Tamandua tetradactyla: one gene and its partner. The protein of the gene in region 2 purifies or fractionates together with the protein of the main gene of each other region. This does not show direct contact. Links are inferred from orthologs where the notes say so. Each region holds a gene or a part of one and is shown on either strand. Other genes may lie near its edges.

The links. Proteins that work in one complex are often made in the same cells at the same time.
Region 1: the proteins of E3 SUMO-protein ligase RanBP2 (region 2) and BICD2 purify together in Homo sapiens (affinity purification with western blotting; 3 studies listed by BioGRID and IntAct, with this or other methods). This does not show direct contact. The link is inferred for Tamandua tetradactyla from reciprocal best matches to the Homo sapiens genes RANBP2 and BICD2.

Annotation. Positions count from the first base shown.
Region 1 is NC_135328.1:2,423,830-2,432,196, reverse strand, and holds the start of BICD2 (protein bicaudal D homolog 2), read right to left. Parts: upstream 3,950-8,367; 5' UTR 3,933-3,949; coding exon 3,693-3,932; intron 1-3,692. UniProt on the Homo sapiens protein: Acts as an adapter protein linking the dynein motor complex to various cargos and converts dynein from a non-processive to a highly processive motor in the presence of dynactin.
Region 2 is NC_135343.1:73,416,548-73,424,925, reverse strand, and holds the start of E3 SUMO-protein ligase RanBP2, read right to left. Parts: upstream 3,511-8,378; 5' UTR 3,406-3,510; coding exon 3,334-3,405; intron 3,229-3,333; exon of another isoform or gene 3,153-3,228; intron 1-3,152. UniProt on the Homo sapiens protein: E3 SUMO-protein ligase which facilitates SUMO1 and SUMO2 conjugation by UBE2I. Involved in transport factor (Ran-GTP, karyopherin)-mediated protein import via the F-G repeat-containing domain which acts as a docking site for substrates.

The sequences.
Region 1 (8,367 bases), on a different chromosome or scaffold from region 2:
AGACCCTGGAGACGGGCACTCAGTGCGTGCAGAGGCAGCAAAGTGGAGAGGAGGGGGTGAGGATCCATCCATGTTGGCTCTAGTTCAGCAGAGGCGAAGGAAGAAGGGAGGCTAAGAAATCCAAAGGTAGGCCCAAGCCAGCCTGTGGGGGCCCTGGGCATCAAGCTGGGAAGCTGGGAGACGGCCACAGGGAGCCACCGAAGACTGAGCAAGGGACAAAGGGCAGCAGCAGTGCTGACTGGAACGGAAAGGGGCTGCAGGCGCAGCAGTGAGGCCGGGGCAAAGAGCGAGACCACTGAGCTAGCATAAGACATTACTAAGCCCTCACTAAGGGTCCAAGCGTGCCCAGCCCTTGACAGGCCATCCTTCACCTAACTCTACCTGCAGTCTCCTGTGGGAGGTACCACCTCATCCCCCCTCACAAAGAAGGAAACTGGCGCCCCAAAAGGTCAGCCACCTCCCACGGTGACACAGTAAAAGCCAGTGAGGGGACTGAGACCCAAACTCTCAGGGATGAGGCTGGACCAGACATCTGCATCATTAGCAAAATGAGCCCGTGGGCACAGGCTCCTCACTGGCCAGTCAATGCCCATGCTGGCAAGGTGATACCTCTGAGGACAGGCTAACCCCCCACCAAAGAGACCAGACTGTGGGACTGGACCATGGCCTCCCACTCATCCGCCACAGGGCCCTCTTCAGCTCTGCACATAACACCAATACCCTGAGACCAGCCAGCCAACTTCTCTTCCTCAAAAACTGGATTATTTGCAAATGCTGGCCAGAGTAGAAGCAATTCCACTGGAGAATAATCTGTTAATAACCAAACCCCAACTTTAACTCCAGATATAATTTTAAAAAAAATTAAGATGGTTCACCTCTCTCCAGGGAGAAAAAATAAAAGGTCCTAACAAAAATGGCCCTTAAATCTTGACTCTCAAAGTGAGAGTTGGGATTTTCAACTATAGCACTGGCCAAAATTAAATGAGCTGGCACTACCAGGTGTTGGCACAGGAACGAGCAAGATGGCCCTTGTACACTGTCGAGGGTGGGTGAACTGGGGCACACTTTCTAGCATCACTCTGAGACTCTGATAGACATCCCCCCAGATGCCAGGAGGGACTTCCAGTGGAAACTTTCTAAGCCCCACCTCACAAAGGCAGAAACTGAAGTTCCGAATGGGGAAGCAACTATCCAACGTCACATGGAGAGTAAGCAGAAAGCCAGGAGGCAGTGCTCAGGCCCAAGCAGGTGGCTGAAGAACACAAACACCTGCGGGAACTCTGGGACACGCTCCTCCTCACTCTGCTAAGGCCCTACCCTCCAGACACACGCCCCCAAATTAAGCCAAAATTCTTGTGTTGTGCCAAAATGTTTGTGTTTACAATATGAAAGAGCTGACAACAACGGAAATGCCAGAAGTGGGAACTAGTTCAGTCAACGAGAGCAGACGCTTATCGGGGACAGTGGACACGAGCACTTGGAGGCACGAAGGAGACACGTTTGTGGTGCCTGGGAGGGGCTCGACCACGCACCCCAGGGAAGGGCAGTCTGGCTCGGAACCACCACTGGGCCTGCTCGCTGGGCATGTAGAGGGAAGACATGAGGCCCCAGGGAGAGCTTTCTAGCAGCTGTCTGCAGGGAGAAGGGGGAGTCCCATCACTGGAAGACCACAAGTGGGGCCTCAGCCGTGTGCTCGCAGCCCCCAGCCCCCTCCGTGGCAGCTCTGACCCCACCCTGCACTCCAACTGTTAGGGTTTCTCTTCCTCTGTACGGCACTCGTGCAGGAGGGACCACACCAGACGTTCCAGCCAGGCTGGCTCGAAGGCGGCGCCAACGCCCCGGAGACAGATGACCAAGAGCCGCCGGGCGGACAGCCAGTGTGGCAAAGCTGAAAGGGAGGGAGGAGTGGGAGGAGCCCTGCTCCCAGTCTGCCCCTCAGTCAGTCACTCACCAGTGCTAACTAGTACCCATGCAGCCACGCAGTGTTCTACGTGCTTTTTTGGATTAACATGTTTACTCCTCTCCGCAGCTGTAGAGATCCTACTGGAGAGCGAAGCAAGAGAGACTCCAAGCCGTCAAGGCAACTGCTCAAGTCCGGCTGGGAGCAGAGGGACTGGGGGGTGGGGGAGTAGTGAGCAGCTGTGGAAGCAGTAAGCACAGTGGGTCCCTGAGACCTGGGAGCCAGCAGCCAAAAGCCCCACTGGACAAGGGAGAGTAGTCCAGCGCGAAGAGAGCAAGGAGCACATACTGTCAGAGACACCGACAGGTCACAGAAACACCCCACTCCACATCTGATACCCTGCCAGACTTTTCCAAACATACAATCCTCACAGAACCCTTTCTGGCTGGGCAATGTTGCACCCCTAGTTTGCAGAGACAGAAATCAAGTCTTAGGGAGTGCCCTGCCCACAGCCACATCACTAGCCAGGGAGGGGCAGGGTCCGGGTCCAAACCAGCACATCTATCCAGAAAGCAACCCTGCTTTAGGGTTTAAGATTGAGAGGGGTGGGGGATGGGACAGAAACTTGTATTTAAATCACCCCAGGAGAATTACTGCCTAACTACTGCAAGCAACAGATTGCCTAGTTCAACTCAGATACCTTTCCTAGAAGCCCCTAACAGCTCCCTCTTTATGAAAAAACCTGAGGCAGCTTAGGAAGCTAATCTCCTAATGCCCAAAGTCAAAATTCAACAGGAAACAGCCCCACAAAAGCACCCACAGACCTGCTAGCACATTTGCTGAGGCCTTCTGGGCGACACAATAAGGAAGGGCTTTAGGAGGGGGGGCTAAGGACAGGAAGTGAGCGATAGAGGCAATACATTCCAGCTGGTGGGAGAAGCAATCACAGCACTGAAGAGAGAGCACCTGGTTAGAGAGCTGGGCTTGGGGAGGGGACACTGGACAGTCCCCAGCCAGCCGCAGCAGCCATGTGCAAAACCAAGTCACTGACTTCCTAAGGTCTCTGTCCAGGGCCTTTCCTGGACTCAGAGCCAGCAAGACGCTGAAACCATGCTAAAAGAGAAGGAAAGTGATTTGTCTAGCGGCCACACAGACCCAGGCCTAGCCTTTCCCCGCTGGTCAAAGCACTGCAGAGGCTATTACCCCCACCTTATAAAACCGCCACCAGAGACCCTGCCACCCAGATAAAGGCAGGCTGCCTTTGCTCGCGGAGGTCAAGATCTGATCCCACATGTCCCGTCTATGATGCCGTAGGACCCGCCTGCCCGGCTTGCAGGAAGCCACTGGGCTGGCATTCTCCCGCGAGTGGGCCAGCTGCAGGCAAGGGGAGCCCAGCCGGTGCCCCCCTCCCCCCGGTCACTCGGGGACTGGTCCTGCCATTCCTCACGGTCTTGGGAGCGGGTGGCTGGGAGGGGCCGGGATAGGAGGGGAAGCGCCCGGAAGCGGGATCCCCAGGGTCCAGCAGCGGTCCTCGCCGCCCCAATCGCAGGGGCGAGGGAGGGGCGAGGTTCTTCCACTATCAGGGCCCCTCTTCCATCTCCCGGTGCCAAAGGAAGGGTGACCTTGGGCGGCGGCCACCTCCCTCTCGGCCCCACGGAAGCCGGCCTGGCTGAGTCCCGGGCTCCCCCGCGCCAGCCAGGCTCGCGGGTCGGGTCAGAGGCAGGGGTCCGAGCCGGGCGGGGCCCGCGGGCGGGCGTGGCGGCGGCCGGCCCGGGGGCGGCGGGGCGCTCACCTCTTTGAGCTGCTCCATCTCGCCGCGGATGGCCTCGTAGTCCACCTCGAGCTCCTCGAACTGCAGCTTGAGCTGGTGCTTCTCCTCGAGCACCGCCAGCCCGTACTCGGCCGCCTGAATCTTCTCGCGCGTGGTCTCGGCCAGCTCGTGGGAGAGCCGCTTCACCTCGGCGCGCAGCCATTCGGGCTGCGCCTCCATGACCAGCCGCGCGTACTCCTCCTCCTCCGAGGGCGCCGACATGGCGGGGGCTCCGGCAGGCCAGGGGCCGCGCTCGCGCCGCGCTCACCAGCCGCCGCCGCCGCCGCCCATCCCCGACGGCCGCCCCGGGCCGCGGTCGCTCCGCCGTCCTGCTCGCCGCCGCCGCCGCCCGGGGGATGATGGGGGCTGGAGTCCCGCCGCGCGCCGACTACTCGCCCCGGCGTGCCCCGCGCTGCCCCGCCACGCCCCCTCCCGCCGCCACGATTGGTCCGCGCCGTCGACGTCACAGCGGCGCAGACGCCGGCGCGCCCCGCGGCCGCCCGGGCCTTCCGGTCCTCGCGGGCACGGCGGCCGGGGCCCTCGAACGTTGCCCGGTGCGGTTGTCGGGACCCTCCGTGGCGGAGGGCGGCCCGGAGGCCATGCCAGCGGGCGGAGGGGCCCCGGCCGAGGCGCCCGCACAGCGGCTGTACACCCTCGGGCGAGTGGCCCAGCCGCTCTGAGCTTTCCCGTCGGGTCCTGGAGGTTCTGGTGGAGGAGAGTTACCGGCTCTGGGGTTTTTAAGGAATTGTGGGGAGCGCCTGGAGCCCTCTCGGAGGAAACCTCCGCCCGCGCGGGGACGGTCGGCGCGGCGCGCGGTTTCTGGAGGTCCGACACCGGCCCCAGCCGCGCGGCGGAAAGGAGAAGCGCCCCACTGCGTTAAGATGGAGGAGGTGGGCGTTTGGAGTGGGGAAGAATAGAGGGTCCGGTGTCAGGTTTCTGGATTCCCAGAAAAGACGGGGTTAGCCGTATTCTGTGGGAAGGAGGATGGACGTGAATGTTGAGAACAGCGACCGCAAGAGCGCACGCCAAAATGATGACAGGTTGGCAGAAGGGGGGCGTGTAGGACTGGAGGGGACGTTAGCTCCAACTGCTTTCTCGTGTCACCCCTAAATACTTGAGGGGGTACTTGCTGAGAATAAAGACGTAACCACCGTAAGGACGAGTTGGGGATATTTAACACTGACGGATGCCATCCTCTACTCTACAGTCTGTGTTCCGGTTTCCTTGGTGTTCCAGTACTGCCCTTTATGGCACCTTTTTTTTCTGTCCAGGGTCCGATTTCGAATCATGGGTGGCACTCCTTTGGCATGCTTCTTTAAGCTCTAATCTGGAAGGCTCTCTCGGTCTTTCTCTTTCATGACCTTGACCATTCTGAGGAATATAGGCCAGCTGTTTGCACCCTGGCTCTCTATTTGTGCTTGTCACATATATCCCCCTGGAACGATTTAGGTTGTGTGACTGGCAGGAATATCTCAGGAGTGAGGCTCGGTACATCCTACGTGGACTGCATAGCCTTCATTTTGTCCCATTGGTGGTGGTAATTGACATCACCTTAGTTAAGGTGGCATCTGCTGGGTTTCTCCCCTGTCGAGTTAGGATTTTTCTCTTTGTAGTTAGAATCATGGAAGAAGACACTGAAGCTATGCAAATATTCTGTTACTCTTCTTTTACCCACTAGTTTTACCATTAGTTGATATTTCTTGACTGAACTATTACCATACTAGTTGCTTTTCTATTTCCATCGTTGCTTCTCCGTTTATTAGTTGGCTTTGTACTGTAGGGTAGATGTGTTCCTTTTCATCCATTCATCATTGATATGGATTCAAGGATTCCTATTTTACCCATTGGGTTGCAAGCCACTACTCTCCTTATCTGCCCTGGTGCTCCAGTAACCCCAGATGTAGCTTGCTGCTCTATCCTTTCAATATGTCATCTCTTTTGAGATTTCCTTTCTGGCCCACATCACAGGATCATATACTTCCATGTCCCAGACCTGGAATCAACCATTTCTCCAAGGGAAACTGATTTCTTTTAGTTGTTTAAACATGCTCTATTTCTATGGGAAGAATATATCGTATTTTCACTTGTGAAATTAAAAATAATTTTTAATTATTTTAATGTTTAAGGAGTTCAATCATGATAGAAGTAGGTTGACCAGTGGTTCCAGTGTGCTGGGACTATCCTGGTTTTAACCCATGTCCTGGGAAACTGGGATTGTTGTTCATGGGAGATCCTAGGGAAAAGGAGAAGGAACAAGACTTGTTTGAGCAAATGTCTAATGTAGGACGGACTGAAACTCCATGAGTCATTGACTGACCCAAGTCAGAGAGCCTCGGTGGCAATGCCCAGATCTGACCAGACTGGGCTGACTTGGGTGCCCCTTCCCCCATCCTGCCTTCATACAGAGGGCAGATGGTGCAAGGACGGATCACAAGAGCTTTAACCTTGGAGACAGGGTAGTGATAGAAGAAAGTGGGGGAGGCCTCACACATTCAGTCTACAGACAGGGACTCTGTGGAGGCACAGAGACCTGTCGCTACGATCCGGAACATCCTTCAAGCAGGAGAGAAAGCTGCTCTGCTATCTAGGTTAGACCTCTGAGAAAGGAGGCTGGAAGCCATGATGTATGTGATGGGAGGGGAGGGAAAGGGGTGCATCAGGAAAGGCTTCCCTGAGGTGGTGAACACCTGGTGGAGCCCCAGAGAATGCACAGGTGTTGGCCAGTCAAAAGCTGCCAGAAGGAGGGGGGACTTGCAGGGACCAGAAGCAGAGCTGCTCCATATCCATCAGGTCGTGAATGGGTCACCCATTACTGGGCTCCTCCTGGACACCCAACATCACCAGGTGCTCAACATGCATCATTTTGTCCTCACCACCCTCAGAAAGGTGGGAACTATCTCATGTTTCAGGAAGGAGAAAGTCTCAGGGCAAAACCCTTGGTATCGCCTTTGATTTCCTGCTTCTCACACTCCTCTCCCAGTCTGCCAGCAAGGGCTATCTGCCCAAGTTTCAGAACAGACCTCAATTCACACCCTTTTCCCATGCTCCATGCAAGCCATGTCACCTGCCTGAGCTGATGCTGTCACCTCACTGGCCTCCCTGTCCTCATACCCCACCCAGGTCTACCGTCTAAACAACAGTAGAGGAGCTCTTTAGACCCCAGTCAGGCCACATCCCTCCTAGAGTCAGAGGCAGTCCATTACAGTGGTCTCCAAGGCCCTGTGCAGTGTGCTGACTCTCCCCCTCTGACCTCTCTCACTACCCTCTGGCCACCTAGTCTCCCTGCAGTACTTCCAGCAAGGGTCTTTCCTCTTCCCTCTGCCTGAAACCTCTTCCTCAGAGGCCCATGGGGCTCACTCCCTCACCACCTTGGCTTTCCAGTCCATTGTCCTAATCAAATTGGACTGATGTGAGTGACCAAGTCTGTCTCCATGAGCTGAAGGTGTCAGAACACAGTGCGCACAGGAGCCTGCAATAGATGTTGGGTCTAGAGGACCGAGGAGACATGGAGTGGGTGACAAGTGGGCTGGCTCCTGAAGGGTGGGCACCTGTTTGCCCTGTTGGAAGTTGAAGAAGAGCATTCCAGAATGAAGGACCCAGAGAGACAAAGTCGTGGGATCGTGGATCAGTGTGGCATTAGAGGAAGAGAGGGTAGAATGGTGAATTCTGGACAGCCAAGCACGACAGAATGTGTGTGTACATGTGCATATGCATTGGGAGGCAAGGAAGAGGAGGTGGATTACATCAGATCATAAAACTCTGTCATAACAAAACATGTGAGTCATCAGTTTCCAAGCCAGTGTTGACCAAAAATGACTTGGGGCTTGTCCAAACCTAGGTCTGACCTCAGCTCCCACCCTTCCCTGGGGAGCAGCAGCACCCAGCCCTGCCCTCAAGGAGCTCATTATAGAGGGAGGCAGAGGTAAGCTCATCTGCCCCAGTGAGCTAATGGTGGCTGGCACACACAGGCCTTGTTCTCCAGAAATGGGAAGCAGCTGTTGAGAGAAGGTTTGGGTAGAAACATTGATTGGGGATCAAGACCTGTGACAGGAAAGGGAAAGCCGCGAGATGGCCTGACCAGGCTGCTGCCAACCTTTCAGGAACCCAGGTGCCAGGGGTGGGCCTGGCCAGCTCAGCTCAACAGGTTCAGGAGGAGCCATTGTTACATCTTCAGGAATTTTGCCAGCTGGTTGCTAAACCGCTGGGAACTTGAAGTCAGCTACATGTGGTATGATTTATTTATACCACATAAATCAGCAGACATTACAGATTAAGTTTTTGGTCTTGTTTTGTTTTCCCCAAGAGCCAGTTTGCTGACAAACCCCCGCTCTGGAGTGAAATCTTGCCTGGTATGAAATCTTGATGGTTCTGCATCAGCCAACTGACCAGGTCTTTTGCCCCAGGCCCACTCATGTGTGGGCCACCTGGGAAGAACATGTTCTCAAGCAGGGTGGGTCCGGCAGCCACAACCAACCCTGAGGGAGCTTACAGCTGGAGGCTACTGTCCACCACACTCTGGCAGCTGGGCAGGGATTCCCTCCTTGACAGGGGATGTGGATAATGTCTCTGGGTCTGTTGGCGCTCTTGTCAAAAACGGGTTTCGGGCCCTTGCTCAAAGTGAAACACAACCTCCAAAGGGAGACCTGAGGAGTTTTAT
Region 2 (8,378 bases):
ATTCAAAGAAATAATGACAGAAACTTACCAAATGTAATGAAAGACACAAAGAAGACACTCAACAAACTCCAACAGACTCATCCCATGATATGTTGTAATTAAACTGTTGAACGCCAAATATAAAAACAGAATCCAAGAGAAAATGAACGTGTCAACCTAATAAGATAAGTGCCAATTTCTCAACAGAAACCATGGAGGCAAGAAGGTAACAGAATGACATCTTTCAAGTTCTGAAAGCAAAAAAGGATTCTATATTCAGCAAAGCTGTTTTTCAAAAGTGAGAGAAGAGCATAAGATACTTCCAGATAAAACCTAAGGGAGTTTGTTTCCACTAGACTGGCCCTATAAGAAATACTAAACCCAGTCTGCAGGTGGAAAGGAAAGGACAATAGCGTGAAGCCACATGAAGATACAAATGGCTCTGGTGAGGGCAGTGACATGAGTAAATATAAATGCTAGTACCATTTGTAACTCCACTTTTTACTTCCTACAGGAGCTAAAAGGCAAATGCATAAAATGTCATGAGAAATCAGCAGTTTGGACTCATAAAGGCGGGGGGACTGAGAAGTATAGTAACATAGTGTACACTAATGGAGTTAAGTTGGTATCTAAGCAAACAAGATTATTATAGATTTTCTATGTTAAATTTAAGTCCTGTGGCAACTACAAAAAAAGTATCAGAGAACATGAAAATTCACACAGCCAGAAATTAGAATACAGGTTGCCAGGGTGGGAGATAAATGGAATGGGAGTTGATGCACAATAGGTTAAGGGCTTCTGTTTAGAGAGATGGGAAAGTTTTAGTAACGTAATGCGGTAAAGGCACTGCAATAATGTGAATGTGATTAATCCTAGCCAATGTTCAAATGTGACAAAATTTAAAATTGGTGGGTAAGAGTATCTGGGAAATAGGAGTATATCAGAGTTCCCTTTATGGAGTTCGTATTATTTATGTTAACTGTTCTCTTAGGTTTGAAAGTATTTAAAAATAAAAAGTTAAAAAAAAAAAAAAGGATACTCTTCAAGGGTAAGAGATATGTGACCACAATAATAAATCCTTAAAACTGTGCACCACCCTTATTTTATTTGATGAAAAAGTCAGGTAGCTGAAAGAACATTCCCTATGTCATTCTAACTTCTGTCTAGACTAGTCATTCTTTTGGGAGCCAGGGTCCCCATAGATAATCTGATCAATGCTCTAAATCTGCTTTAAAAAAAAAAATCATATTCATCCACAGCTGCGAATCTCCCTGGCAATGTGGGATATGACTCCCAGGGATGAGCCTGGCCCTGGATGGTGGAATGGACAATGCCTTTCTGACCAAAAGGGCTTAAATGTAACAAAATAAAATAGCAGTGGATAAGAGGGTTCAAACAGAGCCCAGAGACATTCTGCAGACTACTCTTATGCAAGCTTCAGCTAGGTATTGCTAATTACCAAGATGTGCCAAGCCCCAACCAACATCATTCCTGTTAAGCCTAAAGAACACCCAGGGCTCTATCTGAGATCCTACAAAAGTTGCACACAGTAAGTTTACTTTTCAGAAATCTAAAAACTTCGTATGGTTCCTTGGTCAGATAAATTCTGAAACCCAGAGATGCCATTTCTCCAAGAACATCAACCCATTACATCCCCCATCCCACGCTGTCGACACCCCTTTTCAAGACGAAAAAAGTTAGAATGGCATAACCCAAATACCCCTAAACATTGGGGGGAGAAGGATCAAAGGAGGAGTTATAACAGAAAAGTTAGAATTTAACAAATGAGTATGACTATGAATCATTATATTGCTATTTCTTTCTAGTCTCCAATGTCTTGGAGCAGCTAGAAGGAAAAACCTGAAGTCGTGGAACTGTAACTCATAACAAACTTTGAAATCTGTTCTATAACTGTTAAAATATACTTTGAAATTTATTGTTTTGTATATACATTATATTTCAAAATAAAAAATGTTTAAAAAGCAAGTCACATCACTCTAAGGGTACAAAAACCCTTAAGATTCTTCTACACTCTACTACCACACTTACATTTATGTCTACGTAAGCAGTTGAAATAATCTGTAGAGAGGTACTTATTTCTCCCCTCCTGAGGAACAGGATATAACGTAATCCACTGTTCCTAAATTAAAATAAACCTGGCCCATGTCAAAATCCTGCAGTCACCTATGAAACCTTACACAAGTACCTCCTGATATGCATCTGCAGTTGTTGGGACACTAAACAAGAAAAATATCTGGGATGTAGAATAAGATTATATTGCTATTATAATCAATCATTCATGCGTTTTCTTGTTTTTTTTAAAACTCCTTTCAACATTAACAATAAAAATAAATTCCAGCAAACACGTAATTAGCCCTTCTATGCACAAGCACTAACATGCATCACCCTATCTTATCCTATCAATGCTGCACCTCCACCTTATTAAGAGAAAACAGTTTAACTTGTCCCAAATCCAGGTAAAATGACTCCAGATCTTGTGCAAGCCCACATGTAATACCTTTTTCCTCACTCTCCACATCCAATCACTAAAGTTCTGCCGAATCCAAAATATATTTAGCACATTATTTACCTTAAAAGAAGAAAAATACCGTAAAAGCACGTTAAGGAAATGGGTTAAAATTTTTAACCAGAGTAAGTAACAACGTCCTATTAGAAATTTAGAATTCGCGAGGAACGTGTGTGTGTGTGTGTTTGTGTGTGTAGAGTGGCAAAAAAAAAAGACGCTTCCAGAGAGTCCTGGTGGGGAGGGGGGGACAACAGAAGGAGGGTCAGGACCCTTATAAATACAGCGCCGGACGCCTCAAGCCAGGGGAATTCAGTCTCATTTGCGCTGTGTGTCAAGCACTTGCAAATGTGGCTTTCCATGCTCCGTTCCGTTAGGTGACTACGACGATCACCTGTCTCAGTAGTAAATGCCCACCCTCAAACTGCGTCAGTACTGGGTTCCACTTCCAAGCATGGGAGTGGTGGAGGACGCGCGGGCCATAAACGGTGCGCGAGCTGCCGAGAAACCCGAGCCTGGTGGGCCCGCCAGATAGGTCGGTCGGGAGCCGACCAGGAAGAAGAGGAAGCTCTGATGCCAACGGCCGCTCGCTGGCCGCTGGGCCCCGCGCGCGCGGTTCCCGAGCCCTGCGCCCCTCCCACACGCGCCTCCCCCGCCCCGCACGCTCTCGAGCGCCACGCAACCCACGGGACCGCGCTGGCCGGCTAGCGCCTCAACGGAACGAGGTAAGCAGCAGCCGGCAGGGAGCCATTAGGCCGGCGCCAGTGCCGGGCATCGGGGCCTCCGCTGGCCCAGGGCCAGATCCACCCCTCTCTTGAGCACTCACTCACCTCTCGGGGCGACGGAACGGAGCCCTGCACGGAGGCGATGTACCGCTCCACGTCGGCCTTGCTGCGCCTCATTGCGCCGACGTCCGAGCTCCCGGTACGCGGAAGGCCGACACTGGGGCCCACAGCGACCGGCAGGCTCAAGGAGCAAAGCGCCTAAAAGCCGTGACGCAGCGCCGTCGCCGACTGAAGAGCGGCATGACGTACGTGCGTGTTGCATCAGCACTGTGCGCCACGCCGACGACGGTGGCGCGTTGGGGCGGTGCGCCTCGCCGGCTCCCCCCACCACGCACTGCCCGAGTCGCGTCTGGTTTCTGGGGTTTTGTCCGGAGTTGGTGCAGTTACGCCACTTCCCGGTGTTCTTTGCTCACCGCCCTCTAAAACCGGTTGCAGGTTTGGGCTTTCTCCGCCAGGGCTTCCTGAGGATGAGGAACAGGAAAAACATTCAATACCACAAATGAGTCAAGGAATATTAACCAAATTGAAATATCAATTTACCAAAGGTCTTTTTTAACGTTTTGTCCCTTTCTTCTTAATTACACATTTGTGTGGAAGGAAAAAGCACTCATACCATTTTGGTGAACCTTTCAATTGGAGCAGTCTTTTGTGTTGGACACCTGTGTATCCGAAGCATACAGTTTTTAAAAGCTTGAGAAATTTTGTAGGTGTGTGATTGAAAGGTAGGCCTCGAATACTTTGTTTTAGACGATGTTGATTTTTGTTGAAAACTTTATAAAAAGCCCTAAAATTTATGCATATTTCATTAGAACAGGGTACATAAAAATTTCAAGATGTTAACGTCATCTGTATATTTCAAATCGTCAATAGTGTGTACTTTTGGAATTTGAATTTTTAAATTTTAGATCAAAGCCGGCGTTTTCAGGGGTGAAGACATTTTTACGCTTCGAGCATGTCTGTGTACACCGTGGGGTCTTGAGTTTGTGGGAAAATATCAAACAGGAAATATGTTCACATTTATAACAAGATTTGGCATGGGTAATTTTTATTCTTATGGTTTTTCCATATTTTCCAAGGTTTCTATAACGAACAAGTATTACCTTTTATAAAGATGGAAAAATAGCATTTCGTTTTGTTTTGTTTCGATCATATTGAATGCATATGAGGGAAAAGGAAAAGATTGCTGGGAGGCTTCTAGACTGACTGAGGTGCATTAAGAATAGTATAAACTAGAATCTGGTTTGGAATGGAAGATGGTATTTTAAGTAATTGATTCATTTCAGTTGAGATATCAGTTATATATATCCTGTTGAAGATGCCTGGTAGGTAGAAGAAATGGTAGGTCAAAGATTCAGGGTGGACTTGGTACCTGGCTTGGAGCTCATGAGCCTCAGGTGACAGTTAAAAGCATGAATTTGCCTTGGAAAGTGTTAGTAAGAACACCCATAGCTAACAACTAAGCACTGTGTTCCATGCCCTTTTCGTAGCGCTTCATATGTATTAGTTTATTTAATCCCCCCAACCGCTTTGTGAGCGGCACTACTATACATTATCATCCTCAGTTTAACAAATTAGGAAGCCAAAGGAGTGAGCAGGAAAGCAACTTGCCGAGCACCCTTTCCAAGTAAAATAAGAACGATTAATCTGCTTAAAATACTGAAAAGAAGTTGACCAAAGAGGGAACCTTCTTGAGGAACTCAAATGCTTTCCTTGAGTAGGTTTATTAAGCTTCAAAACCCAATTTCATCAAGTATGAGTCTGTTCTTCTGGGCTTTAGAAATAGGCACTCTTCTTCATGATGTCTGTTCCTTCCTCAACATAGACCAGTTCCATCCAAACCTGTTCTGACACAGAATTATCCTTTCCCCCAAGTCACACACCTGGTTGTAATGTTCTCTCTTAACTGCTCCTTTAGTCATTTTGATGCTGTGCATCAATTTGAATGAAGCATGAATCCATAAAAACCTGACTTAGGACATTTTTCAGCAGCAGCAGTTTTACCTGATTAATCTCCTGATGACTTCTGAATTAACATTGAGCTAATAATCATCCAATATTGGTGCTGATCGAACTTAGGAGTTTTTCCTTCTCCTTAAGCACCTCTACCTTGTTGCTGGTTACCATCCATTGCATAGACACAGTATCTTTCATGTATCACATGATTCCTTTCTTCTTCAGCTCATTCATACTGTCAATTTGTCCTGTCGTTTTCTCAGCACTCCAAATTTGTATGATCATATAGGAATCCTTAACTACTGCTTACTATAATGCACTTTTCAATGCTCTCATGGCTTTTGAACTTAGAATTGATGAGGTTAAAAATGTTCACAAAAAAATCTCAAAAACAAAAGGAACCAAATGACTGCAAATTACTACTGACAATTATGTACTTGCACATAATTAACTTGTTTTCATTTTAAACTTTTGCTTTGACTGCATCTCTGAAATTAGAAGCTCCTACACATTCTGCTCTTGATATCCATACCATCTAAACTGCTTTATGTACAGAAGGGGCCTTTTCACACATAAATTGAGGAAGGATTTGGAACTATCACAGGATAGCACAATGCTGCCTGAAACCATATGGGGAAAAATTTGTACAAAATCATGAATTAGGGGATATATGTGTATATATCTGTATGATATACCTTTGTTAGTATGTATTTGTGGGAAATGGAATCCCCTCTATCAGTGCTAACAGAAATATAATATGACCTAATACGTAATTAAAATGTTCTAGTAGCCACATTTAAAAAAGTAAAAGGGAACAGGAGAAATTAATTTTAATCTTTTTTCAACCTAATATATTCAAAATGTAATTTCAACATATAATTGATATAAACACATTATCCATGAGCTATTTTACATTCTTTTTTTGTACTAAGCCTTTAAGATTTGATGTGCATTTTACATTTGCAGGACATCTCAAATCAGACACTAAACTTTCATAAGAAATGCTTGATCTGTATTTCTATTTCATAAAATTTAGGGTTGAAAAAATAGATTCACATACCCAAGTTGTTCTAAACATACTTCAATGTTTTCCAATAGCTTAATCAAATATCATTTTGTAAAATTTTAATTTTAATTAAAATTTAAACTCTTCACCCTTGGTTCCTAAAAGTTCACTTTTGAAAAAAAATGGTGCAGGCAAAATCCAGACTGCCCATGGTTAAGGATAGATTAAGTGGTAAGGAAATGGACGTACAAAGTTTTGGTTACTTTTCTAATAGAACTTACCTTGGTGTCTTTGGTAAAATATCATGTAGAAAAATTGTCCCTTTTTTGGGCAGATAGTTCTATGACTATTAAGACATGTATAGATTTATGTGTCCACTACCACAGTCAGGAATCAGGACAGCTCTGTCATCCCCCCAAAACTCATTCATGTAATCCCTTTGTAGTCATACTCTCCATTCACCCCTTAACACTGGTCATTTCTCCACACTGTAGTTTTGTCTTTTCAACTTTTCAAGAATGTCATAAAAATGGAATAGAATCATATTTAACCTTTTGAGAGTGGCATCTTTTACTCAGCATAATACCTTTGAAATCTCTACAAATTGTTGCATTGTATCAGTAATCTTTTTTTGTGGACCTACCACAGTTTTGTTACCCATTTTCCAGTTGCAAGACATTTGGGTTGTTACCACTTTTTGTTGATTATGCCTAGAGTTGCTATGAACACTTACCATCTATACGTTTCTCAACAAGCACAGATGTTCATTTCTCTAGGGTAAGAGTCAGCATATGGCCTGTGGGCTGGCCACCTGCTTTTACAATGCAGTGACAGGAGTTGAGTAATTGTGACAGAGAACTATGGCCAGCAAACCTAAGACATTTACTATCTGACCCTTAAAAGAAAAATTTTGCTAATCCTTGTTCTAGAATAAAAACCCAGGAGTGGGATTGTTGGGTACCATTGTGGGTATATGTTGAACTTTATAAGAAATTGCCAAACTGTTTTCCAGAGTGGCTGAATCTTGTTTGCATTCCTGTCAGCAATGCATGAGAGCTCTGCATCCTCACCATCACTTGGGTATACTCAGTATTTTTTATTTAATTCATTCTAAAAGGTGTGTAATGGATCTCATCCTGGTTTCATTTTAGCCCTTAAAATGTTAGACATCTTTTCCTGTGCATATTTTCCATTCATTTATCCTTTTTGTAACCTGAGTTTTAGTTTAGTTGTTGCCCATTTTTCAGTCAGGTTGTTTTCTTATTGTTGAGTTCTGATAGTACTTTATGTAGTCTAATTTTATGTCCTCTATCAGATACATGATTTGAAGGCATTTTCCTCCCAGTGTGTAGTTTGGTTTTTTCATTCTGTAAACAGTGCCACCTGCAGAGCAAATTTTTTAATTTTGATAAAGTTCAACATACCATTTTTTTTCCATTTGTGAATCATGCATTTTGGGTCATGTCTAAGAACTCTTTGCCTACCCCAGGTCATGAATACTTTCTTCTATGCCTTGTAGTTTTGGTTTATGCTATTCATTTAGACCTTTGATTCAGTTTGAGCTCATTTTTGTATTAAGTAGAAGGGAAATAAGCATATCCTTTCACCTATTCAACAGTATAATCTATTCAACATTGTACTGGACGGGCTAGCCAGGGACAGACCAGAAAAAGAAATAAAGGGCATCCAGATAGAAATGGAAGGCATGAAATTATCACGTAGATAACATGATCTTGCATATAGAAAACTAAGTAATCCTTTTTAAAGAACTATTCAAACTAATAAACTAGTTCAGTAAGGTTGCAGGATACAAGGCAATGTATAAAAAATGAGTTGTATTTCCAAACACTAGCAATGGACAACTATAAAGGAAATTAAGAAAATTCCATTTACAAAAATATCAAAAAGAATAAAAGATTTACAAATAAATTTAACCTGAGAAATGCAAGAACTGAACACTGAAAACAAAACATTGTTGAACATCAGTGAAAAGACAGTTCTAAAAATGGGCAGTGGATCTGAATAGACAGTGCTGTAACCTAAAGATGGATAAGAAACACATGATAAGATGTCCAACATCATTATTGAAATGCAAATTGGAACAACAAGGAGATACTACTTACCTATGAGG